Linked DNA regions of Notamacropus eugenii. The protein of the gene in region 1 purifies or fractionates together with the protein of each later gene. This does not show direct contact. Links are inferred from orthologs where the notes say so. Each region holds a gene or a part of one and is shown on either strand. Other genes may lie near its edges.

The links.
Region 2: the proteins of FBXL5 (region 1) and MMS19 purify together in Homo sapiens (affinity purification with mass spectrometry; 4 studies listed by BioGRID and IntAct, counting the BioPlex papers as one, with this or other methods). This does not show direct contact. The link is inferred for Notamacropus eugenii from reciprocal best matches to the Homo sapiens genes FBXL5 and MMS19.

Annotation. Positions count from the first base shown.
Region 1 is NC_092877.1:68,184,287-68,199,919, reverse strand, and holds the start of FBXL5 (F-box/LRR-repeat protein 5), read left to right. Parts: upstream 1-7,856; 5' UTR 7,857-7,960; coding exon 7,961-8,044; intron 8,045-15,633.
Region 2 is NC_092872.1:214,291,774-214,306,623, reverse strand, and holds the start of MMS19 (MMS19 nucleotide excision repair protein homolog), read left to right. Parts: upstream 1-9,121; 5' UTR 9,122-9,349; coding exon 9,350-9,458; intron 9,459-14,850. Other genes in the region: UBTD1 (ubiquitin domain-containing protein 1), read right to left, coding at 3,389-3,521. UniProt on the Homo sapiens protein: Key component of the cytosolic iron-sulfur protein assembly (CIA) complex, a multiprotein complex that mediates the incorporation of iron-sulfur cluster into apoproteins specifically involved in DNA metabolism and genomic integrity.

The DNA.
Region 1 (15,633 bases):
AATAATATTAAAAATGCAAGTCATCCAGAGGACTCAGTACTAGGACTATTTCCTAAATTTTATTGAATGGGACATGTCTGGGGAGAAAACCCTGTGGAAAGTTTATCTGAACAAAATTGTTCATTGGTGATTCCTTTGAAATCATTAAATACTAATAACCTATGTATCTAACTATTGGGAAATTGCTTAATAAACTGTAGTGGATCTGTCTGCCTCAAGTCTCTCCCCACTCCAATTCATTCTCCATTCAGTCACAAAAGTGATTTTCCTAAAGTATAGGTCTGACCATGTCACCGCCCTACTCAATAAATTCTAGTGGCTTAATATAAAGAAAAAAAAGAAATGCAAGTCATAACAACTTTGAGGGTTCACTTTAAACCCAGAAAATTGGTAAAGATGAAAAAGGATGGAGATGATCAGTTTTGAAGGGGCCACAGAAGTCAGGCAGACAAACCCACCACTGTAGAACTGTGGATTGGTCTAACCATTCTGGAAAGCAATTTTTAGCAAATGAAATTAAATAATTAATTAATTTTAAATTTTCAACATTTACTTCCATAAGATTTTGAGTTCCAAATTTTCTCCCAATCTCTCCCCTCCCCCCACCCCATGATGGCATGTAACTTGATATAGACTTTATATACACATTCATACTGAACCTATTTTTACGTTAGTCATGTTGTCAAGAAGAATTAGAACCAAAGGGAGAAACCATGAGAAAAAAGAAACAAACAAACAAAAGAGACAGCAAATAATATGCTTCAATATGAATTCAGACTCCATAGTTTTTTTATTTTTTTTTTTTCTGGATGTGGACATCATTTTCCATCACGAGTCTTTTGGAGTTTTCTTGGATCCTCGCATAGCTAAGAACAGATAAATCTTTCAAAGTTGGTCATCAGGTTATGTGGCTGTTATTGTGTACAGTGTTGTCCTGGTTCTGCTCATGTCACTCAGCATCAACTCATTCAAGTCTTTCCAGGTTTTTCTGAAGTCTGCCTGCTCATCATTTCTTATATCACAATAGTATTCCATTACATTCATATACTATAACTTGTTTAGCCATTCCCCAACGGATGGGCATCCCTTCAATTTCCAATTCTTTGTCACCACAAAAAGAGCTGCTATAAATATTTTTGTACATATAGGTCCTTTTCCCATTTTTATGATCTCTTTGGGATACAGACCTAGAAGTGGTGTTGCTGGATCAAAGGATTTTTATAGTCCTTTGAGCATAGTTCCAAATTGCTCTCCAGAATGGTTGGATCAGTTCACAACTCCACCAACAATGCATTAGTATGGAAAGCAATTTTTAATTACACAAGTAAGTAAAGAAAGTGTCCATATCCTTTGACCCAGATGTCTCACTGCTAGGGATATACCCCAAAGAGGTCATATACACTGAAATACGTATAGAGGCATTTTTTGTGATAGCAAAGAATTGTAAACAAAGTAGATGCTCATCAGTTGGAGATTAGCTAAATAAATTATGGCACACAAATGTGTGGAATATTATTGTTCTGTAAATACAATTAATATAGACAATACAATGAGAGGAATAGGAAGACTCCTATGAAATGGTACAAAGTCAAGTAAGTAGAAACATAAGAAACATAACACACCAGAATTCTCAGAGTGTAAACTGAAAGAACAGTTGCCACAACCAAAACATCAAAACTGAATGTGTCAGAATTACAATGAGCAAGGTTGATCTCAAAGAAGATGTATGAGAATATATCTCCCTCTCTTCTTCGTAGAGGACATGATATTCCTGCATCAAAAAAGGTGCTATACTCTATGAACTAAGCACAATGGCAACAGATAAGAAAAATGAAATGGGAGACATCTCTACTCTAGACATTCATGTGAACTATTTCTGCCCAACTTTTTGATGGAGTCCTAGTTCAATCTCCTATATATATATATATATATATTTGGTAACATGGTACAGTGCCAATGGGGTATTCGCAGCACCTACCAAGGCCACGAATATCCCAGTATAATTCTCAATTGTGAAATACAACAGACTCTCCACATGGAAGGCAGAATCAAAACATTGATTCAGACATCAGAAAGTCCAATCCACCACAATTACAAAAATCTATAACAATGGAGAGGACAACACCCTCCTCAAGCCTTCCCCCAGCTAGGCTTCCCACAAAACAACTCCATGAAACAAATCACAAACAATCACAAAATCACTCACATTAGCGCATCCTTCCTAGCTCTGATCACTTTCAAGACTAACTTCTTCTCGGTTCTGCTCTAGCTCTGCCTCTTCCTGCTTCACCCTTCCTGTTCTACCCATTCAGCAAACTCTTTCTACCACAGATTCCATGTGACTTTGACTAATGACCCATGCAGGTCGCATGGGCCAATTAATGAATGAGAAAGACCTCCTTGTTTCAAATGACTATCACATATGTTTAATATACAAAAATATTTTCCATGATTATACATATTTGTGAGAGGTGTTGTCTTTCTTGGGTAGCTAGGTGGTACAGTGGATAGAGTGCCCATCCTGGAGTCAGGAGGGCCTGAGTTCAAATTTGACCTCAGATACTTTGTGTGTGCGTGAGACCCTGGACAAGTCACTTAACTCTGTTAACCTTAGTTCTTCATCTGTAAAATGAACTGGAGAAGGAAATGGCAATCCACTCCAGTATCTTTGCCAAGAAAACCCCAAATGAAGAGTTGGATATGACATTAACTAATCAACAATTGTCTTTCTTGCCTTCTTAATATGGAGGGGGAGAATTTGGAACTGAAAAAAAAAAGTCTCACTGCTTTAAAAAATATTTAAAAAAGAGTAACCTGCATCTCAGTTCTGAGACCCTACTGTCTCTAATTCAGTGGAATTTAGAGGGTACGCCTATTGATGAAAATATGGCTTGAGTTCTCATTTCAGTACAAACTCATTATTCAAATTGTATGGGAAGTACAAATCAAAGAGCAAAGTACTAAATACAGTATATCAAGATAATTACAAAGGAAAAAACTGGACAATATAATCATTCCCATTCCTACAACTCCTTCCTTGTACATAAAATGGCACAACCTCTTAGAGCCTCATGGGTCAATGAAATGTAGTCAACCCTCAGAGAAATGAGGAAACTCATCAAGACAGGGGTGGGGTGGTTACTGTCAGCAGACTGAGATATTCTGTACCCTCTTGGATTTAGGAATTTGCCTCAACTCTGGTATCAGATCTCCTCATTTTACCTCCAATACAATCTCTGGAGCCTAAATTTGTTAAGTATGAGCTGCAACACCAGGAGTCCCTACTCAGCAAGTCATATCCATCGTATCCATTGTATCCTTTGAGCAGTTTGCTCTTCTGCCTGCCATCTTCAGCATGCTTTCTTTGGATGGAAAGAAAGCAATGTTGCCATTATCATATCTCTTTCTTTTAACTCTTTTCTTTAACAAAGCCCCTGGGGAGCAATTCCTATATCCATGTAGAAGATTGGTATAATTCTCAAGCCCTGGAATTTTCTCCCAGAGAGCAATAGCTTCCTTGCCTTTGTCAATTTGTCAGTCAGTCAATTAGCATTTATTAAGCTACTGTGTATCAAGTACTGTGATAAGTTCTGGGGACATAAAGACAAAAAATAGTCTCCATAGAATTCAGATATTATGGGTAATGATCACCATGCCCCTATTACAGAAGCAACTCCCCTTCCCCTAGAAAAGCATATCTCAAATTTTCTACAGAAAGTGAATGGGAAATTGGGTTCAATATAAAAAAGAGATAAGAAATGACAATATATATTTCGTAAAGTAAGGTACAACTATATTCAAAACTATTTTTAAAAATCTAGAGTTATGATATTACATTTCAGTAAACTGATTACCTTTCCCCTTGATATAGTTCACTCCTATATTCTGCCAACCTTGCTTTTATGAAACCAGAAATTACTGGTTCATAGACAATCATATATGGGGCTGTGAAGGACCTTGGTATTAAATCTAAACTCGGCATTTTACAGATGAAGAAACTGATGTCCAGAAAGGGACAGTTACTTGCTTAAGATCACAAAGATAGTAGCAGAGTTTACCCAGATAATAAGAGCTAGTATTTGAATATAAGTACTCTCTTTAAATTCAGTGTTCTCACTGATCCATATTGGCTCTTGTACTTTTTACAATATTACATTGATGTATAGGATACTCTCAGTTCAATAAACACTTATTAAGTGCCTATCATGCGCAAAGTACTAACATATCATTCTTTCATGTTACTAGGGAAGCATTTAGAGTATTATTGCTATAATGTGCCATGCATGGTCCACAAAGATGACCCTTTTGCCCCATCATCAAGAAGGTATCCACTTAGAGTGTAGATGGTTCAGCTCAATCATCTGATCTCCCTTGTGACCATAGTTGGCTAGGGTCAGAAGAGTAGTATGTGGTCATGGAGCACAGAGAAGTCACCCCTAGAGGAGGTAACTGATTTTTATAGAGGGGGTCATATCTATGGCCTTGGCTTCTTTAACACAGAGCTAATCAACTGTAGTTGCTATAACTTGAAGTGATAATACTTAACCAATATTTTCCATTTCTCTCTTGTAAGGGTAAAGTTCAGTTTACATCAGCTGTTTAATTCTGGCTATGTCATGTGATAAAATGCTACACTAGTCAGTTTATAGAGTAAATATTAATGGTTAGCTGATGTGAACTAAAATTTCACTTTGGAAAGGAAAAAATAACCACTCCAATTTATTTCATGTTATTATTTCAATTCTGTAATTTAAAGAAAATTCAGTTGAATTCATGTTCAGAACCCTGAGTGGTATGCAGTGTGTGTGTGTGTGTGTGTGTGTATGTATTCTAGTTCAGAGCACAGCAAGGCTCAAATCTCACGTCACAATGAATCTCTTAGGGCAGATCTATTCTTTTTTTTTTTTTCTGTTGCCACACTGTATTGTTTGATGCATTTATCTACCCTTAATTTATAAGCCTACTATGTCATAATAATTTCCAGGAGCTAGAGTTAAAGAACTTAATAAAAGAAAAGTAAGACAGTCCTCTACCAGGAGATAAGAAATGCAAATGAAGACAATTTGTAGAGAAAAGTTCAGAGAACAAGATGAGGCAGCAAATAGGTACTTAAAAAGCGAGGACTTTGAGTCTAAATTTCCTCAATTGTAATCTGACGGTACATGTTGTATGATTATTGTTATGTTTTGGGCATTAGGCTGCCTAGGAGACCCAAGATCAAAGGTTTATCCTGGTATGAGTCTGGTACTTTTCTATTATATGATCATATAGAGAACCTCTAATCCTGACTTTACAATGATTTCTGTTTAATAGTAAACTAGACCTGGAATTCCAATCCACGGTGTTGACGTCTTTTTACCAGTCTTCTCAGACAATTTAGCCACATCCTTGTTTCCCCCTAAATTTCCTTACTTCATCCTCTAGTGAGTCAGTTATTTAGTCAAGGTATTTGGCAAAGTTTAGAGGTATTGCCTTTCACTAACACTTTCCCTACTACCAGCACTTGTCCTAGGTGCTGTTAGGGAGATACAAAACAAAACAAAACAAACCATAAAGACAATGCAGCAACCTTGGCTTTGGAGCCAGCAACCAATTTACACCTGTGGCTCTGTCCTTAACAACTGTGGGACCTGAGTTTTCTTTTAAACTGTTTCCTTAAATATAGAAGGAGGAGGTGAAAGATAAACTAGATCATCTCCATTCTACCTCTAAAATTCTGTTCTTTTAGAGCTGTATCCCAAAGAGATCATTAAAAATGGGAAAAAGGTCCCATATGTACACAAATATTTATAGCAGCTCTTTTTGTGGTGGCCAAGAACTGGAAATTGAAGGGATGCCCATCCATTGGGGAATGGCTGAACAAGTTGTGGTATATGAATGCAATGGAATACTATTGTGCTACAAGAAATGATGACTTCAGAAAATCCTGGAAAGACCTATATGAAGTGATGCTGAGTGAAAGGAGCAGAACCTGGAGCACATTGTTCACAGAAACAGCCACAGTGTGCTCCAACTGATTTTGATAGACTTAGCCCTTCTCAGAAATGCAAGGACCTAAAACAATTCCAAAGGACTCATGATAGAAAATGCCATCCACATCCAGAGAAAGAACTATAGACGGGGAACACAGAATGAAGCAGACTATTTTATTTTATTATTTTTTGGTTTTGTTTTTCTTATTCGGGGTCTCTCCCATTCTTTATAATTCTATGCAACATGACTAACGTGAAAATGCGTTTAGCAGGAATAGATGTGTAGAGCCATATCATATTGCATGCTGCCTTAGGGAGGAAAGAGGGAGAACATTTAAAACTTTTGGAAGTGAATGTTGAAAAGTAAAAAAAAAAAAGTTAAAAATAAAATAAAATTTTGTTCCTTTCTTCCCCCTTGCTCGTACTGACCTAGTCTTTGTTGATCTGGCAGTCCCAGGTTTGTCTTCTGCCTGAAATATACACTTCCCTATCACCAAGTCTCCTCCTTTCCTGCTGTTAAAGGATCTTTTTTACCTTCAAAATACCGAGAAATTTTGGCCTTCTTCTCTGATCACACAATTCACAGGCATCTTTCTATTAGAATGTAAATACTAAATAGTAATTGTTTCTCTTTTACCCAGACACCCTGAGGGTCCTCTCCCAGTTATATAAGAGGTCCTCCCTTGAGTAATTACTTAAAGAAGCCTTTTCATCGAATGGGTGTCTCCCAGTGCATCCTGATGAATGTCTGGTCCCGGCACCCAGATGGCTCAGGAGGGGAAAGTGAGGCTGGTGACCTTGCGCAGCCCTCCCGCATTCAAATCAAGGTCAAGTGCAGGTCATGTCCTCATCCTGAGGTCATGGTCCTCATTGAGAAGGAAGGACAACCAACCAACCACAGCAGCTTTCCCGTTTGCGCACGCGCACACACACGTTAGCCCCGGATGTTGGATGAGAGCTCATCTCCTCCACTATCCTCTCCTATTTTAGAGATGAAGTCACCTAGGCCAACAACAGTTAAGGGAACCAGCCCAAGGTCACGGTAGCTTTTGCTTTGGCCTTGAGGCACATGTGGCCCTCTAGGTGCTCAAGAGGGGGAGCCTTGGACCAGAACGAATCCTCTTAATACGAGAATGTATTATGTAAAGCTCGGACTCAGACGGCAGCACCCCAAAGCCTCCGTTATGATCCGCATTTTCCCCTCGTGCCATCCAGATTGCTGTACGTTTCAGGGGCAGGCCCAACAGCCCGCCCGCCCGGGGCCTCTCCTGCCGAGGGTCGGACGGAGCCCCGGGGATTCGGGGCACTCCGCTCCGAGGCAGTTCTCGGTGGAGCGGGGTCAGGGGGCCCGAGCGGGGCTCCTCTCGCCGAGCTCGGGACGCCAGGGTTCCTTTGGCCTCGGGCACCGAGCGCTCCGAGCTTCCGGGTGCCGCCGTGTTCCCTAACCACAACAGCGCTACCATCGTCGCTCTTATTACGGTTGGCACTGGAAGAAAAAGAACCGCGCGATGGCGGTGCGAACGGAGCGAGGGGAGGAGGAAAGGGCAACCTTCACACCTGCCCCCCCGCCCCCTCCCCGGCGTGTGGGAAGCTTTTGGCCAGAAAGGAGAATTTTGAATAGCGACCGCAAGAAGTAAACCGTTTGGTTTTTTTTCCTTGGGGAAGTGAGGGGGTCAAGTAGTGGGAATCGAGAAGACTGAGCGCCGATGACGGGCGGCGGAAGCGGGGAAAGCGCGCGCCTCGGTCACGTGGACTCGCGCTTTCTCCCTCCCTCCTCCTGCCCCCCACCCTTCCGACCGCATGGCGGCAGCCCACGAGCCCACGGGCCTCCCTCCCAAGGAGGGAGGGGAAGGAGAGCAGGGGGAGGGCGCGCCTGACGGAACGGCGCTGGCGCATGCGCGCGCAGGGGAGGGGCGGTCGGCGCGCGGCCGCCTCTGCCCGGCGGTGAGGGAGTCTATGGAGAGGCGGCGGCGGCGGCGGCGGCGGAGATGGCTCCCTTCCCCGAAGAGGTGGACGTGTTCACCGCCCCGCACTGGCGGATGAAGCAGCTGGTGGGGCTCTACTGCGACAAGGTAAAGGCGGGAGGAGGCTGGGGGGCGGGCGGCCTGCGCGGAGCCCGGAGCCCCCGCGAATTAGTGCCTGCGCAGCGCGGCTGTCACCGCCTCTGCCTCGGCGGGGATGCCCCGGCCGCCGCGGCCCTCCGGAGGCCCGAGAGCCCGGGGCCGAGGTAGGCCTCCCCGGCGGCGCCCGGGCCCCGGGGCGCTCGGCTCCCTGGGGGCTCGGGACTTGGTGGGCGGATAGGGGGTGACCCCCTCACCCCTTCTTTCCTTACCTCCTCTTCCCCCACTCGCCCCCCTCGTCTTACTCCCCTCCTCAGTCGCGGCTCCTAGCTCCCCTCCCCTTTCTCCCATCGCGCCCCTCCCCCTCGCAGCCCCTTTCCCTATTTCCCTCATCTCTCCCCTTCTCCCCCGCCCCCACTGATACCCACGCGCCCCCCGCATTTCAGTGCCTTCCTCCTCTTATCCCTGCCCCGATGCCCAGTTCACCGTGTTTGATCCCATCTCCTTCCTTAAATTTTAATATTTATTTGCACGGGACGGGATAAAGGCTGGTGTGGTTCCCTGGGCACCTCCGGCGGCGGACTGGGGTTTGCAGCCGAGGAGCTCTGCCCCGGAGGAGTTGGGAGGAAGAGCCCCGGGCTTGGGAGGGGGAGACCTGCTTGGGTTTAGTAGCCCTTCCCCTCGGGTGGTCTCGGGCAGGCTACGGGAGCTTCGGTGCCTCAGTTTCCTCATCTGCAAAATGAAGGAAATGAACTCGATTATCCATAGGCTCCTCTCCCAGCCCTGATACTCTGTTTTATAAATTCTCGGATTTCTGGGCCACGGATTTCATCATTTTGAGATTGCCGAGATCCTTTCCCATTTTAGCACAAGATTCAGAATTACTGTTTTGAAGTCAGCCAAGAGCTTGCCTTTCTGCAATGCGCTGTCTAAAAATAAGTAAATTAAGAATAATTTAAAAATCTGTACTTCCCGTGTGTTTGAATCGACTATATGTGGTAATGGGGGGAAGATGAGGCATAGATTTAACTCAGATAACATAATCTGTAGGGCATGTAACTTAGGTACCAGTTTATTGCCTTTAAAAATTGATGTTTTAGCGAGTACTTAACCTGATAAACGGAAGAGGTGGTAATAGCTTTTGTGCGTTATGTGGGTAATCAGTAGTCATAAAGTTTGCCTGGAGGACATTACAATTATTGTTCATCAAAAACCTCATTGATGGATCCTATCAAGTTGTTTATGGTAATGTCCAAACACTTACCAAGGAACAACACTTTACATTTTTAAATTTGGACTTTTTGTCTTTCTAAAAATTTTTATTTACCTACCGTTTAGAGATGCTGGCTCCTGGCGTAAATGAAGGGTGACCTATAAATCAGAGGATCTTGTTTTGAATTCCCTTTTGCTTACTAGCTGTGTGACCTTAGGCGAGTCATGGTAAACTCAGTGTCTTCATCTATAAAGTGAAATTGTTTGGATTAGATGACCTCTTAAGTTCACTTCCAGCTCTAAATTCAACAGTGTTATGAAATGGCCAAAGATAGAAAAAGCCTGAGAAGGAAAAGCACGTGACCTGAACAGGAGACAAAACTGGATGTTATAGAACAGAATAAATAATCCGTTGTTTAGTAGTAACTTTTTAAAAACAAACTCACATTCTGTGACCTCTACCGCACTATTGTGGTTACAGATGAAGAAAAAATGTTCAATTTCTCTGCCTTTAAAGACCAAATGCTAGTTGATAGGAGAATCTGGATTAATGGCACCTAATGAGACATACCCTTTGGGTTGTTTGGTGGCTAATCTGTCTCTTTTTTTCAATGAATTAGAAATTAAGAAAATTCTGGAGTATGTGAAATGATTTGAAAATTGAGAAAGAAATTTACAGACTATTCCTGTAAATATTTTAGGTTACATGTTCTTGCAATGTTTACCCATTAGTTTGTTTAGGAAAAGGTTTTTTTTTAGACAATGTCAAAATGAACTTCATTCTAGCAACTATATGTGATAGCAAGTTTTGATGGAGTATATTCCAAACGAATGATTTTATTTATGCAAACAGTAAAGATGAAGTGATCCTCATTGTGTGAACCATAGACTACTCAACAAATGATAAGTGCCTACTATGTGCCAGGCATCATACATGCTAAGCCTTGGGGATACCTGGAAAGGCTGTCCCCCTTTTCCCTCAACTCGCTAATCCCTCCGTCTCTGAATGCCTGGGAATTGTAAATTTGCATGTGAAAATACTGAACCTTTTAGTTCTTGGGAAAGGATTAGGCTCCACTGTGATAACTTTTGGGGTCCTCTTGGGCTTGTATTGGTACAGCCTCTGAAAATGAAGTGAGAAACTTATCCAGCTCAGTGTTTCAGGCATTAGATGGAAAAATAGTTATCCTTATTTTTGATAACATCTTAAATTCTGAGGCACCATCTTAATTACATTGACCACTTGTGCCCAGCCAAACTATCTACCGATGCTTTTTTTTACATTAAAACTTTGAAATTTAATACACTTTTATGAGGAAACTTAACTCCCCCGATGCAGATGGGCACCTGCTCAGATGCTTAGGGTTTTCTGGGGCACTGAAGGTTCACTGACTTATTCAGGGTTTACACAGCCAGTATGTGTCACAGCTAGAACTTGAACTCAGGTCTTCCTGACTTTGAGACTTGGACCTTTCCATCCACCTTATCATGCTACTTCTCATTATACGCATTTTAAAGAAAAGGCTACAAAGTACAATGTTTTATTTAAATTCTTACTTATTTGGTGGGCACAGAGATCGATTACTAAGTAGCTATAAAGAATCAATTCATAATTCACATTTAGCTTTGGAACTAGCATTTTAGAAATAGATGGATGTACAAATAATTTTAAACTGTTAAGCAAAGTGGGCAGCTTGCTGACATAATGAATAGAGCACCAGACTGTGGAGACAGGCAGGTCTGTGTTCAAATGTGGCCTCAGATACCTAGTAGCTGTTAGACTCCAAACAAGTCATTTAACCTTTGTCAGCCTTAGCTTTCTTATCTGTAAAATGGGGATAATAAGAGCAACAATCTCCCAGGGTGTTTGAGGAGGAAAGGTAATAATTGTAAAGTGCCTGGCACAGAGTAAATGCTTCATAAATGTTAGCTGTTAAGTGTCAGGCAATATTCTTCAGCTGGATTTTGGTAGTGTCGGTGACATTTCCCAACATTTCCCAGTTTAAACTTTTGTGAAGCACTTTCACACTTGTTAAACCAACAATAACTGACGTAGATAGGGTAGTTTATTTCAGTTTTGCAGGTGAGAAAGTAAATACTGAGTAGCTTGCCCAAGGTCATACAGGCAATTAGCAAAGAGTCACAGCAAGAATCTAGGTCTCCTAAATCTATACTGTGTCTATTACTTGAAGTAGTTAAGCTTCATTTCTTTAATATGTGAATACTTCAAGAATTTCATCAGTGTGTATATCCCTTTCCACTGTCATAGATTACAACTTTGCTATACATTGTTCAAGTCTCTTGAGTTTTTGTGACTGAAAAAATTGATCACCTGGTGACAGTCTAATTATGATGATCCTATCTGAACTTAGCCTGGTCTTTGGACAACTGACTGATGTAGTCTGTCACTGGGCCTGTAAATTGAAGCCTTTCTCTTTTGGTAGGACCTTTCTGAACTTGAGTTCTACAGAACACAGGATTACCATCATGCCATTATGATGCATTGAAGTAGGACTTTAAGGGACACATTTTTTCCACTAGGTAGTTAAGACTTTTCACTAGTTCTCACCTTTTCCTCAATTCATATGAGTTGGTGCGGTTTTATAGTCTATTTGGTATCCTAGTACATTCTTCTTATTCTAATCTTTTTCTATTCAGGGATCCACTTCATTGGAAAAAAGTAGGGGGAAAGGGAAATAAGATGATCATGGTTTTATTTAAGATAAAAAGGATATTTTACAGGCTACCAGAATGTTTCTAAAATACATATATTTGTCTATGTGATACGTTAGATTCATACATGAATATAAATTTCTCTGTCAGATAACAAACATTAAATGTCTACTAAACACTGCTGGTTATTCTGGTGATAGAAAAATAGCTATAACCAGGGAACTTACTCTAAAGGATTTTACATTTATTTAATTGGAAGGAGTGAAGATATATATACATATATATGTATATATAGTTAACTTTAATACAAAGAACAATATAAATACAAAAGAAATATTTAGGTAAAGTTCTTAGAGATATTTGAATATCTAGTAGATATGATATAGGTTCTTAAGACCCTGTCCTAAGGCAGTGTTTCTTTGGTTAGGTCTTTAACTGACAGACAATTGCAAAAACATTTTCCCCCTATAATCTGTTTCTTTTAACTTTAGAGGTATTTCTTTTTGTGCAAAATCTTTTTTAACATAGTCAAACCCATTCAAAATTTCAAATTATTTTTCCATTTGCTTAATAAAATGTTGATTGTCTTCTTATTTGAGACATTTTTTCTTCTGGTTTTTAAAAATGGCAAATTATTACATTATTAATCTAGTTAGTGTTTATTATATAGTGCGGGGTGTGTGCCTAAAGCTCATTTTTCATCTTATACCAGCTTATTTTATGTCATACTTTCACATTCCGTATTAGTTTTACTGAAAGTTCATTTTAGTCATAGATTTTATCATGTGCTAACCTACGAATCCTATTTCTGGGTTCTCTTAACTGTTGTATTTATTTTTTTTCCATACCATACAATCTTGTAATTGTTACTTTAATTATGGAAATCTGGTAGGACAAGTCTTTTTCTGTCTCATTTAAATTTTTATATTCTTGCCTGCTAGAATTTTGTCATGACTTAACTATAAAGTAAACTTTTATATTGTGATTGGTATTTTAAGTCCGCAAATTGTTTTGCAGTTTATTTGTTTTACCTAACCAAGCAAAAGAGAGCCCTTTATATGTTTAGTTCCTTGATTTCTTTCAAAATAATTTTGAAGTTGTCTTGAGAAGTCAGTGCCCAGATATTTGATACTTTTGTTATTGTATAAAAGATAAGTCTATTTCTTGATTCTTGTTCATTGTTATTTTTGTGAGTTTATCTGACATCTTGCTCTTTTACTGAAAACATTTATCATCTCAGTTCCTCTCGTTTTTCTCCACACTCTTCTCCTTAGAGAATCTCATCTGTTCCCATGTGTTCAGTTATCAGCTCTATACAAATAACTCCCAATTCTTTATATGTAACTGTTCTCCTCTGAACTGTAGTTCTGCATCTCCAGTTGTTTGCAGGACATAGATGTCTTGATATGTCTACCAGGCCTCTCAAAAATCAAATACCTGAGACTGAATTCTTACTTGGTATTTATCATCCTTAAGCCTTCCACTCTTCCTACTTCTTTTGATTGTGTTGTCATCTTCATAGTTAAATATGCTTGAAACCTCAGCATTATCTTTGAATCTCTTCAGTCTCTTGACCTTGATGTTACAGTTACCTGCTGATTGTACTTCATAATATTTCTTACATCTGTCTAGACTCCATTAACACTGTCACCACACCTTATCACCCCTTGTCTGGACTATGCTATCTGCCTCCTTACCAATCTTTCTAATTCAAGTCTCTCCCCTTTCTGGTCTTTCTTTAGTATAGCTGCCAAAATAATCTTCCTAATGCACAGGTCTTACATTTCTTTCTTGCTTGACAACTGTAATTGGCTTTCTACTGCTTATGGGATAAAATATAATTTCATTGGCCTGGCATTTAAGGACCTGTGCAATTTGAGTTTGACCTGGGTTTTGTATACCTTTTTAGATGTGCTTTTGAATTATACATTCATGCATTCTTTATTTTTTTTGTGAACAGTATTTTTTTCAATTATATATAAAGATAGTTTCATACATTCATTTTTATAAGATTTTGAGTTCCATATTTTTCTCCCTACCTCACTTCCCTCCCCAAGGCAGCAAGCAATTTGATGTAGGTTATACATGTGCCATCTTGAAGACATATTTCCACATAAGTTAGGTTGTGGAAGAAGAAACAGAACAAAAGGGAAAAAGCCACAAAAAAACAACAACAAAAGTGAAAATAATATGCTTTTATCTGCATTCAGACTCCATAGTTCTTTCTTTGGACATGCTTAGCATTTTCCATTGTGAGTCTTTTGGAATTGTCTTGGATTGTTATATTCCTGGGGAGAACTCAGTCAGTCGTAGTTGATCATAGCAGTGTTACTGTTAGTGTGTGCAATATTCTCCTAGCTCTGCTCGCATCACTCAGTATCAGTTCATGGAAGTCTTTCCAAGTCTTTCTGTAATCTGCTTGCTCATCATTTCTTAGAGCATAGTAGTATTCCATTACATTCATATACCACAACTTGTTTAGCCATTACCCAATTGATGGACATTCTCTCAGTTTCCAACTCTGCCACCATAAAAACTGCCATAAATATTTTTGTATATGTAGGTCCTTTTCCCTCTTTTTTTGATCCTTTTGGGATACAAACCTAGTAGTGATATTGCTGGATCAAAGTGTTTGATTGTCCTTTGGGCGTAGTTCCGAATTGCTCTCCAGAATGGTTGGATTTATTCACAACTCCAACAATGCATTAGTGTTCCAATTTTCCCACATTTTTTCCTTTTTTTTAATCATATTAGCCAATCTGATAGGTATGAGTTGGCACTTAAAAGTTGTTTTAATTTATGCACTTTTTATTCTAGCCAAGCATATTACATATACGGAATGTGCTCCCTTATCAATACCTGTTGAAATCTTTTCTGTCTAGGTTCAGCTCAAGTGCCACTTCTTCCATGAAGCCTTCCCAGATTCTTTTGGTCAGAAGTGTTCCCTACCTCCCCTCCTCTAATTTTCAGAGTATTTTTTTGGTATGGATTTTTCCTTTGCTCCATTTATACTATCTTAAATCATTCTTAACTTCTGTGCATGTCTCTATCCTTGCAATTAGATTATGAACTAACTGCGAGGCTGGTACTACCTTTCAGTTTTGTGTCCTCAGCTTAATAAAACACTTGTTGACATGAACACATTGTCAGATTGACTTGGAAAAGGGAAAAGCAAGTGACTTAATAATGTCTTAATGTGGATGACAGGGCCTATAGTCTCGAAGTGTAATATGTTAGTTAATAAAATGTTGTCCAGCCTTGGAATCAGGAAGATCATACTTTCAGAGTCTGCCTCTTACAGAGGACTAGGTTTGTGAACTTTGGCAGGTCACTAAAGATCTCATTGCCAGGATTGGGAGTTCCAACATTCTGATAAAAGCAGATTTGTAATAGCTTCTCTTTCTCCCCATGCTCTTGGTATTTATCAGAAGATCTGGATTATTGAAATATTTAGCTTATACCAGCAATTTAGAGGGATGAAATTTTGAGATATCCTTTATGTTGGATACTTTGTTATATGTAATCAGTTTCTCATTCTTTCAGAGCCATGATAATACAGGCATAACTTGGAGATATTGTGGGTTCAGTTCCAGACCACTGCAATAAAGCAAGTCACATGGATTTTTTGAGTTCCTAGGGCATATAAAAGCCATATTTACACTATACTGTAGCCTATTAAGTGTGCAATAGTATGTCTTAAAAAATGTACAAGCCTT
Region 2 (14,850 bases), on another chromosome or scaffold:
CTGAGCCATAAACAGTCCTACAGAGAGAGCAGATTCAGGACTATCATGAGTCAGGAACCCAGCCAGTATCAGGTACTATACCACTGTCTGTCTGGTATGCCCCAAAGTGGAAATGAATTTTGAGGGAAAAGGCGGGTTACCCTGCTAGGCACCTCTAACTTGCCCTTGCTCACTTCTCTGCCATGCCCCAGATGGCAATACCCACCGACCCTAGAGGATCTAGCTGGCACAACAGAGCAGCCTATGCTCCCTGAGCAAGCACATGATCAAGTACAGACCACTCCCACCAAAGGACCACACTCTGTTCAGGTCAGGGTGGGGCGACAATATAATAAGGGAAGATAGCAAGACCCTGGGAAGTTGTGCCCAGAGTAATGTGAGCTCCCCAAGGCAAGGAATTGGCTACTTCTTTTTTATAATGTGTCCCTGCAAGGAGCACAATCACTGGCAACCAGTAAGGGAGCAATATTAATCATAGTGCATTAGTTTACTGGTAATAATTCAGCATACAACACAATATTTTATTAGGTATAAATGAATTTAAAATTATTAATAATGTATACACTGCTAACAACTGGGACACAAGAAAAATCTTGACAGTCTCTGCTCTCACACTCTAATTGAGGGAGAAAATTTATGTAAGAAATGCAAGCTTCAGTGCAACTGGACAGGCCTCTGAAGTCCTAAGGGTTTGATGGAAGGGCACTGGAAGAGCCAAGCAAGACAAAACAAGAAATGGAAGCAGTCCCTGCTGTCAAGGAGCTTAAATTCTAACAAAGAAATCCACATGTATTTTTGAGTGTGGCTGGGGCAGTATTTTGGCTAGGAAAAGTTACTAGGTTTTTTGACAAGAGATTTAGGAAAATATATCAACAAACTCCTTTACAGGAATAATGAAGTATGGATCTGACTATGGTTCCAGAATTAGAAAGTAGATTTGGTGGGCAAAGGTACTGGGAGGAGGCAAGCTTGCTGGTGAGAAGATGGGGGGAATAATGTATAGCTCAAAGAGTTGGCCCTGTGAGCTCATCCATAAGGGTGGAGTGGTATGGGGGAAAAGGGTTTTTGGATACTCCAGCAAGGCACCCTGCAAAAAGAATGGCAGTGGAATAAAGAACAGCAGATGCAAATGTCTAACTTGGTGTCCCCTTAGTTAAGAATGGCTGGTCTCCAGCCATTTTACATGTATTTGCAAAAAACAAGAAGCAATCTAAATACACAACAACAATGGTTAAATTGCAATACATTATGATAAAGGAATATTGTGATACAATTAAAATCAAGGAACACATCAGGGAAGGCATTTATGGAAGAATGCAAAGTAGAAAAAAAACCAAGCAAACGCATGGAGTACACATAGAAAAAGAAAAGTGAATGAGAATGGACAAATAATCCAAATGAGGACTTGAGAGAACGCCTGAAAAACTGTTCTGATCCCTTTACTTTCTGGTTTAGACATGTGTATAGGAAACTTTCAAAGTAGAAACTACACCTCCAACACAGCAGAGCTGCAATTAACTTGGAGAGAGAAGCCTGGGGCCCAGGCAGGTTAGGCAACTTGTCCATGGCCCAAAGCTCCTTCGGTATGTAGGAGACAAAATGCCAGCCTGCAAGACTTCCCAGGCCTGTCCTTCTTGCCACTTAACCACGTGGACATTCTTGGCTCTGTCGGGCATGGAAATGAACTTAAGTGTAAAAGTTAATAAGCAAGTTTAGAATATCAACACAATGTTAAGTTTTTAATAAGTTTAAAATGGTCACTCTTCTAGCTAGACAGATGACTCTCACACAAAAATGTACAGAAATTCAGTTTTTAAACATGAAAAATATTTTTGGCTGCAGAAATTCATAGCCACCACACTTGGAAGCTTCAGAAAATGTTTTCAGGAAACAAAACCTATAAAAAGTAGTGAGCAAAGTACCCAGAAGACCAGGAACTGATGACAGACACTGTAAATACTGTGTGCAGTGGCATGCAATATAGAGACAAACTGGAGCAGGAGTGAGGAACCTTCAGCCTTTAGGCCACATGTGCTCCTCAAGGGCAGCCCTTTGACTGAATCCAAACTTCACATAACAAATTTCTAAGGATTCAGTCAGAGGGCTGCCCTTGAGGACCTAGAGGGCCACATGTGGCCTCAAGGCCCCAGGTTCCCCATCCCTGAACTAGAAAATAGGTACTTCAATGAGAATCCCAGAGCTGGAAGACACTACCCTAAAGCAAAGGCTGGAATCTGTCAGGCAATTCTGCAGCAAGGAGGTGCTTACATGTTCAACATGAGTCCTCATAAAATTGGTGAAAAAAAGCACCTTATAAACAGGGAGGGGGAAGGGAGGACTTTGTTTGCCTGTACAACCCTACCTAAAGAACTGTTATTTGCCATGCAAAGACAATTACTATCCTCTGGGACTAGAGGGTAACAAAGGCTAAAGATGCAACACTGGAGGGGATTATAATATGGCAGGAGGTACAGGAAACCTTCAGGGAAACTCAAACTGTAGGGTTTGGGGCAGGGAGAGGGGTCTGTGTGTATGTCTAAAGACCTGGAGCAATGACCTAGCTATGGAAAAGGTGGAGCCCCAAACGGAGATTTTCATTTCAATCACCTGGGTATTTCGGGTTAAAAAAAAAGACCTTAATTATGTAGATAATTGCCCCCTACTCTCCATTTATACTGGGTCTATTGCTACATTTATACCTTCTTTCTCTATAAAGAGAAAAACAATTGATCCAGCACAAGTACTTTCCTAACATAAATCTGTATTTCATCAATTCCCTTAAGAAATCAGGAGCAAATGCAGAGTCCCTCAAGTGGCCACTGACAAGTCCCTGAGTTCCTGGCATTTGGAAGCTTCCAGCCTAGCCCATTAACTTGAGGACACCAAGGTGTTTGTTTACCTTCTATTTATGTTGCTCCTAGGAACCCAAACCAGGGCTAGATCTACAACAGGGTAGAACTGTTCTTAATGGACCATGGAGCACTTCCCTGGGCAGGAGATGGGAGCCTCAGGTTCCCTCCCCCGCTGGGCGATTTGTTTTGTTTTGGGGATGGTTTTTTGTGGGGGGGGAGGGGGGAGTAGTGGTGATGGTGGTAGAAGCCCTGGGTGAGGCTGCAAGGGAGGAGGTGGCATGAGGACAGCTATGAACCAGGGCTTTGGAATCTCCTGCATTCATTAGATCTCTATGGAGCAATCACCTGCTTACTTGTGGAAGCCTTAGCCAGGCTGGACTTGCAGTCAGAAACACTGGAGTTCAAATCTTGGGATACCTAGTTCTGTATCTTTAAGCAACTCACTTAACTATTCTTTGCCCCAGTTTCTTCACTTTTAAAATGGGGATAATAATAGCACTCACAAATGAGATAACAAAGTAAAGCACTTTGCTGACCTGCTGCTGCTGTCTGTCCTTCCTTCTCTAAGAGGCCCACGACATCAGGGAGGTTGATGCCATGACATGCAAGTGAAGTGGATTTCAGTGAGGGAGGGCTGTGCAGCCACCAATCTGTGTCCTCTGGAGTCATCTGGCCAGATATGATCAGGACAACTGGAAAGGGCCCAGGATGCACTGGGGGACTTTGGCCTTTTCAAGCTAGTAAGGTAAAGTAAGGTAAGGGTGAAGAGAAAAGAAAGAGGAAAAAGTAAAGGAAAGCAAGCCATATTGTCCACCTGTGATGTAAATGCTTAGTATTCTTATCAAAAAGACAACTGTGCCAAAATTGATAAGCTCCTCTATTGTCTTATTCTTACCAAACCTAAGTTAAAAGCCTCAAAATATTTTCTAAGAACCATTCCAATATTTAAAAAAAAGGAAAGAAACATTTTATTCTACGGTTACTCTCCCTTACCCCAAATCCTGCACCTGTGCCTCCTTCAGTTACTAAGCTAGGAAATCTAGATTGATACTTCCATCAGAAAAGTACTTCCCTAAATAAGAAAACGAAAGATGTTCTCTTTAATACAAGGTGTGAGGAGGTAGTGTCTTGGCTCAAAGCAGAGATCTGCACCCGGATTTCAGTGTCTGTCAATTAGCCAAGTTTCCTCTGCCTCGGCTTTAGTTACCTGACAATGCTGCTCAGCCTTTTCCTCTCTGGAGATCACTTTATAAGGCTGGCATCAGGTCTAAAGTAAAAGTGGTGCACCTGTGTCTTAGCTCTGAAGGACTGGGGAACTCCATGGTGGCCAGCACACAGTAGGCAAATGCTATTTTCCCTACATGGGTCATTGTTCCTAAGATGCCCAATACAGGGAATTCAGATGGGGTCCCGGATGATCAATAAAAGGTAAGTTCTCCTGAAACGTGCAAACACTCCCCTGCAGGCACTGCTTAACTCCAGAAGAAGGGGAAGCACTTTGCCACACATGGCCCCAGGACATATGCCAGGGAACTTACAGGTCACTGTCAACGGTAGGTCATACACTCCACTTGTCAGCTTTTTTCTCACTCTTATTTTCTATGTTTACCTATCTCTGAGCCAGGTCATATCATTCCTACATCTTTCAGAGAGCAAATGAGATTTTTAAAAAATCAGCCTTTGAACTATAATAACATGGCATAATAGCCTTTAGCATTCATTCAGGTGGTGGTAATCAATCCCACTTCACTACACACCAAGCTGGAGATACAAAGATAGCCCTGACTTTCCAAAATGTGACCAAGAACCCAGAAGCCTGTCTGACCCACCCAAGTCCAGACACTTGAGCTCATGAACTTAACTTCTGTTGCAGACTCTTTGAGCCCCTCCTTTTAGACAAAATTCTAACACAATTCTAGTTTCTTAGCCCAAAGAATGAGGCAATCTGGGGGATTTGACATAAGGGCAAATATACTCAAGACTATTACATAAACATGAACTTGCTTCAGTGAGAAAAGGTTAAATGACACAGCATGGGGGAGGGGCTTAAAGAGAGGGGAAAAAATTCATTTTAGTAAGATTTTCATTAAAATGATTTTTAAAAAAAGTTTAGATACTTCCACAGTTAAATATCTGTTCCCCTCTGCCCCCCAAATGCCAAATAAATGAGAGACTACTCCTCCACCTCACATTTGTACAGGGTTTATAATTTTTCCAAAAGCATTTACACTACAAGATTAGCTTAGTTTTATCCCCACAACATCTTTTTGAAGTCCAATGGTCACATACTTAATGAAAGTGTAAGGCTGGGGGGAGAGGGTTTGGTTTAAGGGTTAAGTGTCTTTTCTAAGGCATATCTGGAACTAGAATCAAGATCTCAATCCAAGATCTTTTTGTCATTTCATGAACATATTTTGCATATGAGGTGTTCCCAGTTTCTATCCCAGTTCTAGGAACTAGGCAGGGTGCAGGTACAATTTTATTCTCATTTTAAAGTTTTGCAAAAAGAAAATCTTAAGTCCCAGGATTTAGGAGCGAAAAGGCCTCTGAGGCTGCCAACATAAAAAACCAAGGAGCAAAGAGGGAAATTACTTGCCCAGATTCCAGCTAATCAGTGGAAGAGCTTGAATCTTACCTCAGGCCCTCGCTGCAAAGACTGCTCTTTCAAAATGGGATTCTAAACCTTGCATGACAAGTGAAGGGAGAAAAAGGCCAGAGGCTAAATCTGCACCCCCCTATCCACCCAAACCCCAGCCCCTTTGCCCCATTATCTGTGCTTCTGGATTCCCCCCACAAACAAGTCACAGCTGGCAGTTTAGCAGAGATAAGAGCCCAAGCAATCACCATTCTGAATAGGGGGAAATGTGAGATACTGACAAGAGGCCTCCCCGCCCCCGCATTCTAACCAGGATTTCCTATTTTAAGAACTCCCCAAAGCAAAGGGTCAACAGAAGGGCTTCTCGTTGCACCAAGTGCAAACCTTAAGTTACTGCTTTCCTTCTAAGCTGCTGAATGGCATAGTCCCATAAATAAAAGTGCCACAGGAAGGCTAACAGAGAACAGAAAACTAAGGGTCATCTCATTACTCATCAACAGTCACAGCCATATGTGTAGAATTATCTTCTTTTATAACAAACATGCTGGGCAGGGCCTATTGATCCTCACACATTGGGCCCAAGGAAGTACAAGTCTGGAAGAGAATTATAGGATAATCCCCAAAGCAAATACATATCTCCAATTCCATCAGTCTCAAGTGTTTAAGGTTCAGCTCTGCTACATATAGGAGGCAATCAGGAAAATTAATTACCTTCCTATCAGTCACCTAAGTTTTTAACAAGTGGGGGCACACCATTTAATTACCTCATTGACATGGACATAAATTTGTCTAAGGATAGCAGGGGTCAGTCAAAAGTAATTTTTGTTGCATGGAAGGACATCATACAGTGGAATGAAAGGGAGGGTGCTTATGGAATTGTTCTCATGAAGAACTCTATCCATCTCAAGGATGAGTGGCAAAGAAAGGTCATGGGGAAGGGAGGGACTAGGGGAGCTCTTTGAAATGTGGGGGAACAGGTCACAATTTAAACTGTGTCACAGAGTGAGGCTTCAGATATGTTACTGGAATGACAAGTATTTACCATGATTTCAGACCTTCGCCCAAAAAAAAAAAAAAAAGACCATCTCCTCCACACATACCCCTTTTACCATGTTGCAAACATTGTCCCCTTTGTGACCTTCCCCTAAGAACCTACTGTACCAGCTCAGGCTAGTTAGATAAATTATATTACACTTGTGTACATCCTGTGTCTCCATCTCAATACCCAAGCCCTGTTCCCCACCCCACGCCCCACAAAAAGGGAAGTTTCCTGATGGCAAGAACCATTGCATTGCTGTCTTTCTATCTTCCAGCATCTAGGGAGCAGACAGTGCGTGCTTAATAAGTATTTGCCTTAGTAAAGCTACTTGTGAAGTATAGAAGCTGTCTGGATAGGAGAAGTATTTGTGTTACATCCTAAGTCTCAGTTTTTCCTTTTCCACAAAATAAAGGGGTCAAACTAGATGGCCTCCAAGATCCCTTTAAGCTTGAAATATAAGTTCTCCTAAAGCCAATGCCTGCCCTCAAACAGGTTGTCAATTGGCCGAAACTTCACATGAACAAGATACTAAAACTAAACACCAGATCGATAGTACAGGGAATAAATGCATAAAAGGTTCAGAACAGGAAGGGGAAGATCACTTCTAACTTGGGAAGATGGAAAATCCAGGAATGCTTCACATGGATTATGGATGGGCAGAACATGGTGGAGGTGGGCTAAAGGCACAAGACTGGGGGAGAGGAGGGACAGTTACAGAGCAGGAGACAGGCAAAGGAGGCCTGTACAGCCTGGGTACCACATTACAGAACGTGGACTTGATCCTGCTGGCAATGGTCAGCTGCTGAAGGGCTGTGAGCAGCACTTGGACAAGATCCAGTGGTACCGAAGAATGTGACTGGAGAGTGTGCAGGATGGTTTGGGAAATCCAAGGGGTTTAAGAAGCTGAATCCTGAAAATGGGAAGCTATTTTGGTACCAAGGTAAAAATGGTCTGGACAACTTGGGTGACCGTGGGACTGCCCACATTTAGGGGCAAAGTGGAGCCAGGAAAAGGAAGAAAGGTCAGACAAAATGAACACAACTCGGTGGAAGGGATGAGTTTTCCAAGAGAGGCTGGTCAACATCAAATGCTGTTGAGAGTAAGGGGCTGAAGACTGAGAAAATAAGGAATGTGGTGTTCAGACCGTTGGAAGCCCCCAAGTGTGCACGGTGGAGAGGAAAACCTACCCTTTTAGTTTTAAAACTGAAGTCTTTCTCAAACCGTTCCATAAAAACACATTTCTGGAAAAAAGGTGCCCCTGAAATCAGGTTCGGTGACCCACCTTTGGTATCAGAAAACTCTCGTTACAAAACCGGCTGCGAAACCCCCTTTTACACAAAGAAAAACTGGCAACTGTGAGACCTGCTTTCTACACGGAGCTCTAGGAGGAACGTGAACAAGGGCGTCATCCTCTCGGGCCTCAGTTTCCTCGTCAGGAAAATGGGCAGGAGGATCTCGCAGAATTTGATCCTGTGATTTCTGGAAGGTCCCCGAGGCACTCTCAGGGACCAGGCGCCCAAGACCCGACCTCTTCCCGGCGCAGGCACCGAAGCCGGGGAGTTTGGTTAAAAAAATAAGGAGTTCAAGACTTCCTGAGTCCGGCCGGGGCTCCCCAGGACTAGCAGCTTCCTAGACGGCTCCGGCCGGGCCCCGGCAGCCCGCTTCGGCCCCTGCGCCGAGGAGCCGAGTCGCCCGAGCCGCCGCCCTCCACGCCCGGTCCGCGCCGCAGCAGTCCCGAACGTTTCCTGGCCCGGCCCGGCGGCCTCCGCCACTTTCCAGTCGGGCAGAGCCGGGCTCGGAGCTCGCTCGGGGCTGCCCGGACCGGCCACCGCCTCCTCCCCCCACCTCCCCGGCTCCCCGTCCCGCAGGGCGCTTCCTCCTCCCGAGCCCAGCCCGGGCAGGGACCGGAGCCACGGCGGGGGGCAGAGGCGGGCAAGCCGGCGCCCGCGGTCCTCACCTGCTCGCTTGCGGGGGTGTCCCGACGCTGACGGCCTGTCTCCGCGCTGTCTCCCCACGCAGTTGCCCATGGCCGCGGCTCAGCCCGGCCCCATGCACGGGCGGCGGCGAGCGGGCAGCCCCTCCGATGCCCCGAGCGGGTCCCGGGCCACTCCGGACTCAACTGCTCCTGCCGTTCTGCATCAGTCGTTGTCCCCTCGCTCTCCGGGGCACGCTCAGCCCCCGCCGCCGGCTCCGCCACAAACTTTGCGGGAGAGCGGGCGGGAGGGCGGCTCCCTCAGCGCTCAAGAGCCCGCCCCAGGTGGTCGGGCCAGGGGGGCTGGGGCCGGGAGCGGCCAGGAGAAGAGGCCGGAGAGAGAGAGGAGGGGCGGGCACCGCGGCCAAGGCCACTCAGACCTAGCTCCGCGATCTCCTCGGAGTCCGTCCCCGGACACTGTCACTCACCTGCAAAGCCCCGCCCCGGCCGGGCCCCGCCCGGCTCTGGCTCCGCCCCCGACCCAGGTGAGCATGTGACCGTCGGCCCCGCCCCGCTGCCCGGGCCCAGCTCTCTCATTGGGTTCCCCCGAGGGGGGCGTCCCAGCCGGGCCCCACCCAGTCAGGTATCCGCCCGGTCTCCCCGAAAGTCTGCTTCGTTAGTCGTCTAGGGTGGTGTGCCGTCCTACCTACTCTACGAACCAGCTGAGTCCCCGGGCAGCTGACCCTTCCCCTCCGACACGGGGCCTTTTTCTCTCTCTCCCCGGGACGGTCCGGCCGGGAAGGGGGCAAACACGTGACCTAGGCAACCCTCCCTCTCCCGCTTTCTCGCCACGTGATTGGTCGGAGTGCGCATGCGCGAAGCTGCCCCGGCGCTGCCGTGGGGCTGTCTCCTCCATCTCTTACCCCTCCTCCTCTTCCCAATTTCCGATCATGGCCGCGGCCTCTGAGGAGGCGCTGGCCCCGGCGGGCGCCCTGGGTGGCCTCGTCCAGGACTTTGTGGTCGGGCAGCAGGACGGCCCGGCGGCCGAGGTGGCGGCAGGTACATCCGCGCTGCAAGCTGCGGGGAGGGAGCAGCCGCCGCCCCTGGCGCCGGCGGGCAGGGAAGGAGGCGACGGTTGGGGTGGGCCTGGGGACGGAAGCCGACTAGGGCCGAGCCGTCGGGACGGGAAAAGGGGCCACGACGGAGCAGTGCCGGGGCGGAGGAGGAGAAGGAGGTGTGGGCTCGGGAGATCCGGCGCGTGGCGTGGCGTGGGCAGGCGGGAGCAGGGAGCCACGTGGGCTCCGGAAGCTGGCTCGGGCCTTGGGTGCATGATGGAGAGGAAGAAGGGTGGTGGAAGGCGACACTAGTTCTGGGGGTCCCCGAGGGCCTCCCCGGCCCTGCCTGGGCGCTTCCCGTGGGCCCCCCTCCCTGTATCGCGCTCTTCCGCGGGGCTTTCAACCCTCCCGAAACTTTGTCTTGTCTCGTCCACGCACGTTTGCGTTCGGATTCTTGGATAGGAGGCTGAGGCAGGGCTCCTTTAGACAGAAATCTTCCTAGAGAGTTAGGCAGGGTTACAGGGCCCCCCGATCCCGTGCTAAATAGTAAATAACGTAATTTATTAATAACGAGCTTGTGGAGGGGAGGAGGTTGTCCACTAAGAGTTTTGGGTTTGACAGTTTTACCAGTCTGTAAAAAACAGCCTAACTTTCTGGAAGAAGTAGACTCCTTGGTGGAAGGGGACTGTGTCATTTTGGGGTTTAAAAGAAAACAACCCAGTACTTTGCACAGTGCCTGGCCCTCAGCATCGATTAGGCTCTTCTGTAGTATTGCCTGGCTCGTCATTGATTAGGAAAGCTGTGATCACTTCGGAGGGGGAGGCCTTAAAAGAGAGGATGTACCATTTGCTTATTTGTGACCCCTCAAATTTATGAATACTGAAAACCAGGTGTTTGACTTTTAGAGACAGAGGAACAGTGTTTGAGAAGAAATTTGGATAGGGACCAGATCATAAAATAAAATTGATAAAGGTAAATTTGGTGTACCTTGAATGATAGTGCATAGCTTTCACATTTTAATAAAACCCGTTAAATTACTAAACCCCTAAAAGTTATCCTTTTTAGCTAAACTCTGTCCAGCTAGCCCAATTGTGATTGTCCACTGCTCTAGGTACCACGTTTAACACTGTCTCTTTGTTCTAAACAAAGTTCCCTTCGTTAAATTAATCCTGGGTGGCCCTTGTCTTTAGTGTCTTTGGCAGGCTGGCTTTGTATACAGTGCTCTACATTTACTGTCTCCTTCTGGGCTTTATTCAACTGTATCACTTATCTCTGACCTTATACTATTCATTTAAACCCCTCTGAGTTTCAGTTCCCGTATATATAAAATGGGGATAATACCTCAATGTTCTAGTGAACAACTTGCTTTGAAAACTTGGGTGCTATATAAATGTAAGCTGTTATTATAATCTGTAGATATCTACTTGTTCTTTCTCCTAAATTCCTTGCACAAGTTATGAGGTGGGGTCACTATCCATGAGCTTAATCTTTTGGGGGGATATTATAAGTAAGCCAGTTAAAGAATAATATAAGAATATAATACTTATCAGGGCTGCTAGGTGGCGCAGTGGATATACTGTGTTGCACCTGAAGTCAGAAAGACTCATCTTCATTGAGTTCAAATCTGACCTTAGACACTTAATAGCTGTGTAATGCTGGGCAAGTCACTTAACCCTGTTTGCCTCAGTTACTTCATCTGTAAAATGAGCTGAAAAGTAAATGGCAAACCACTCCAATATCTGTGCCAAGAGAACCCAAAATGTCACTCACAGAGAGTCGGACGGACACAACAGAAGTGACTGGACTCAATAATTGCATTAAATTGTGAGGTTATGACAGTAAAGTTTTAGAGAAGGGGCAAAATCAACTTGGGCTTACAGACTTTTCCAGTTTAGCCACTGCACGTGATTGTGGCAGTCTGACTTGAGCCCATCCTAGTAAAATGAATGGGATTTCAGTAGTCCCAGGTGAATGAATGAAAAAGGTTTTGATAAGTTTTTACTAGCACTCTGCTAAATGCTGGAGTATATTACAAAGGTTACGATTGCTCCTGCCTTCTGGGAACTTACCTTTTTGTTTGGGAGACTGCATCCTAGAGCTGAGGATATTTCTAAGTTAGGTGAATGAACAAAAGCTTAGAGGTGATAGAGTGTAGACATTAACCTGACCTAACTCTAGAGTTGCTTTTGGTTGGGGTGAGTAGTTTAAGATAAAATTCTGTTACAATAGGGCTGGATTGTGAGGAGGAGGTCTTAAATGTATTTAGACTTTAGAAGTCTATACGAAAAGCTACCAATAAGCAAATCTCCTGACTTTTATGCTACTCCTGGTGAAGGAGGGGATGAGAATGAATACATTTTACTGAACTGGGGATGCAAAAGGCAAATAATAGTCCCTGCTTTGCAGGAGTTCACAGTCTACTGGAGAGTACACCATGTAAATAACTGAATGTAAGCAAGATCTACACCGGATAAGTTGGAGAAAATCCCAGAGGGAGGGGGAAAAGGACACAACTTGGAATTTAAATCCTGATTTTTTTATATGACCATGAGAATGTAAGCTCCTCGAGGGCAGGAACTTTTCTTTCTGTCTTTATATCCCTAGTACATTAATTGTATTGTGGTTGTTTGTGGGGGTTTTGGGCGATTTTTAATAACCCACAGCTTTTTCATTATCTTTTTAATGTTATAGAAACAAATCTTCACTAGAGTTTGAGTGAAAAAAGGTTGAGAGCTATCCTACACACCACCTCCAAATTAATCTTTTTAAAAATCTTGTTTTCATCATCTTGTGTTTGAATCTTCAGTGGTTTCCCATTGCATATAAAATAAATTTAATATAACAAATATTAGATGCTTATTGTGCTGGACACTGGTGATTCAGAAGCAAAAACAAAATGCTACTTTCAAGCAGTTTATGTTCTACTTAGGGGAGAGGAATATAACACACGTAGGTAAGTGCATTCAAAAATATTTCAAGAAAGAGCATTACAACACTAGCAACTGAAGGGGAGAGATCAGGGGAGACTTCCTGTGGGCTATGGGATATGAGCTGTGCTTTGTAGAAAGGTAGGAATTTTAATAGGCTCAGGTGAGACAGGAGGACCTTTCAGACGTGGGGGACCACTTTGCAAAGGCAGACAGGCAAGAGATGAAATGTAAGGTATAGCTAACAGTCCACTCATTTGGTTAGGATAGTATGGCATTCAAAGGCCCTCCATAGTCTGGTCCCATGTTATCTTTCTTCTTTCTCTTCCCTGAATGAGCTCTTTATTCTATCCAAACTTGTCTACTAACCATTCCCCAAGCATCTATTGGGCTTTCTGGCTTGTGTGCCTTGGCTTGTGTTATTTCTTCTACCATCTCTATCTTAGAAGATCTTACCCCATTCTTAAAGAGCCAGGTCATGGAAGTATTTGCCCTTCTATCTCCTCTCCCCCAGTTATCTTAGTCATAATGATTTTCTCCTTTCTCTGATGTCTCAAAACCATTTGTGTTCTGGACCACTCATGGGATTTATTCATCACCTTGTTTTCAGTTTATTGCTGTGCCTTATCTCTTCATATCCAGTCAGAAGCTCCTGGAAGGCAGGCATCAGTCAGGTTTTATAAGTCTTTGTATCCACATAGAGGGCAGCAGAAAACTTTGCACATCGATGTTCACAGAAAGGAAGGATTCTTACAAGGAAGAATCAGCAAATCTCCAAGACTCCTCAGTCATCCAACACAACTTTCATGTCATCCTCAGCTCCTTACTCTCACTCACATATCCTTTCAACTGCCAAAATGCTGCCATTTTTATCTTCATTTAATCCCCTTCTTTTCATTCACACAGCCACTACCCTACTTCATTCAGGTTCTCATCACCTCACCTGGACAATTGCAATAGCCCTCTTTTCTCACTCCCTTCCTCCTTCCTTCCCTCCTTTCCTTCTTCTCTTCCTTCCTCTCTCCCATGGGTCCATTCCCACCACAAGTCATTGACCTGCTCCATTTTTGATGTAAGTTGGTTCATCTACTGCAAATAGCTTGTTGGTTATCATCTGTTTTTCCCCTTCCTCTTCCTTTCCCCTCCCCCTCACAATATTGGTGCAGGCACTCAACCACTGTAGCTCAGAACTCCTAAACTCAAGCCATACCCCAGCCTCAGCCTTCCTATGTCAAGGAGATTATAGGTGAGAGCCACCACGACTAACTAGATCAGCCTTATAACTGTTCTCCCTATATCCAGTCCATGCCCCTCAGATGCCCAAGTGATATTTCTGAAGCAGTCTGACCATGTCCCTCCTTAATGATTCCAGGGCTCATTTCACACCAGGATCAGATAGAAGCTCCTCCATTTAGTATTCAGTGCTCTCCATAACATGGTCAGTTTCTACCTTTTCCAGTCTTGTTATGCTTGATTCACTTGTACACACTGTACAGTCCAAGGCAGCTGGCTCTTGCATGGCCCAACATCTCTGTCTTCTTGCATTTGCACTGGCCGTTGCCAGGTGTGAAATGCTCTCCTTCATCACTTCCATCTCTGAGGATTCCTGGCTTCATTCAGAGGCTCGGGTTCAATCACCACCTTCTGCAGGTCTTTCGTGGTTTCCTCAGCTGCCTTTCTCACTGAGATTACCTCTTCAAAGTACTTAGTTATTTACATATTGTCTCCCTCCATTAGAAAGTAAACTCTTTGAGGGCAGAAACTATTTTGACCTTTGGGGTGGGGGTGGGGGGTTCTTAGCACTTAGCACTGTACCTAGCACACAGAAAGAATTCAATAAAATTCTTGTTTACTGGCTGCCAGAGGGAGAGGCAGGAGCCACATGACTGAAAGATTTTAGCCTGGAAGGCAAGGAGAATTATAAGAAGTGAGGAAGTTGGAAAATGGAACTGGTTTGCAGATTAGAAATATAAAGAGCTTGATTTGGGGCTTGTTCAGTTTGATAATGCCCTTTTTTTTTTTCCTGATAAACTTGATTTGCTGCCATTTTAGTTTTCAGTAAGAAAACTATTAGCACTGTATTCATTTTCTTCTTGAGATTTCTTTGAGAGGACATACTATTCCTGAAAAAGAAAAAAAAGGTTGAATTAAGCAATAATAAAACAACAAGTTTTGCCCTGAGTCTCAGAGATGCTTGTAGCATCTTAAGCAGGAAAGGCAGTCCAAGATTGTGGGTGGGACCAAGCCAGAGTTGCTTGCTATTCGGTGAATTCTAGAGAGGTTACAGCTCAGTTCAGACAGAAGTCTGATTGTGCATTCTGTGTCTGTGCTCACATAAACACTGCTTTGACCCACCATCTCAGTGCCCCACTTCGGATCCCTGTGCCTTGCTACAGAGAAGTGGGATTAATAGGCAGGAATGGCCTATATTTTAAAGGGACAGTTCTGCATATGTCATGAGTCCAAGAA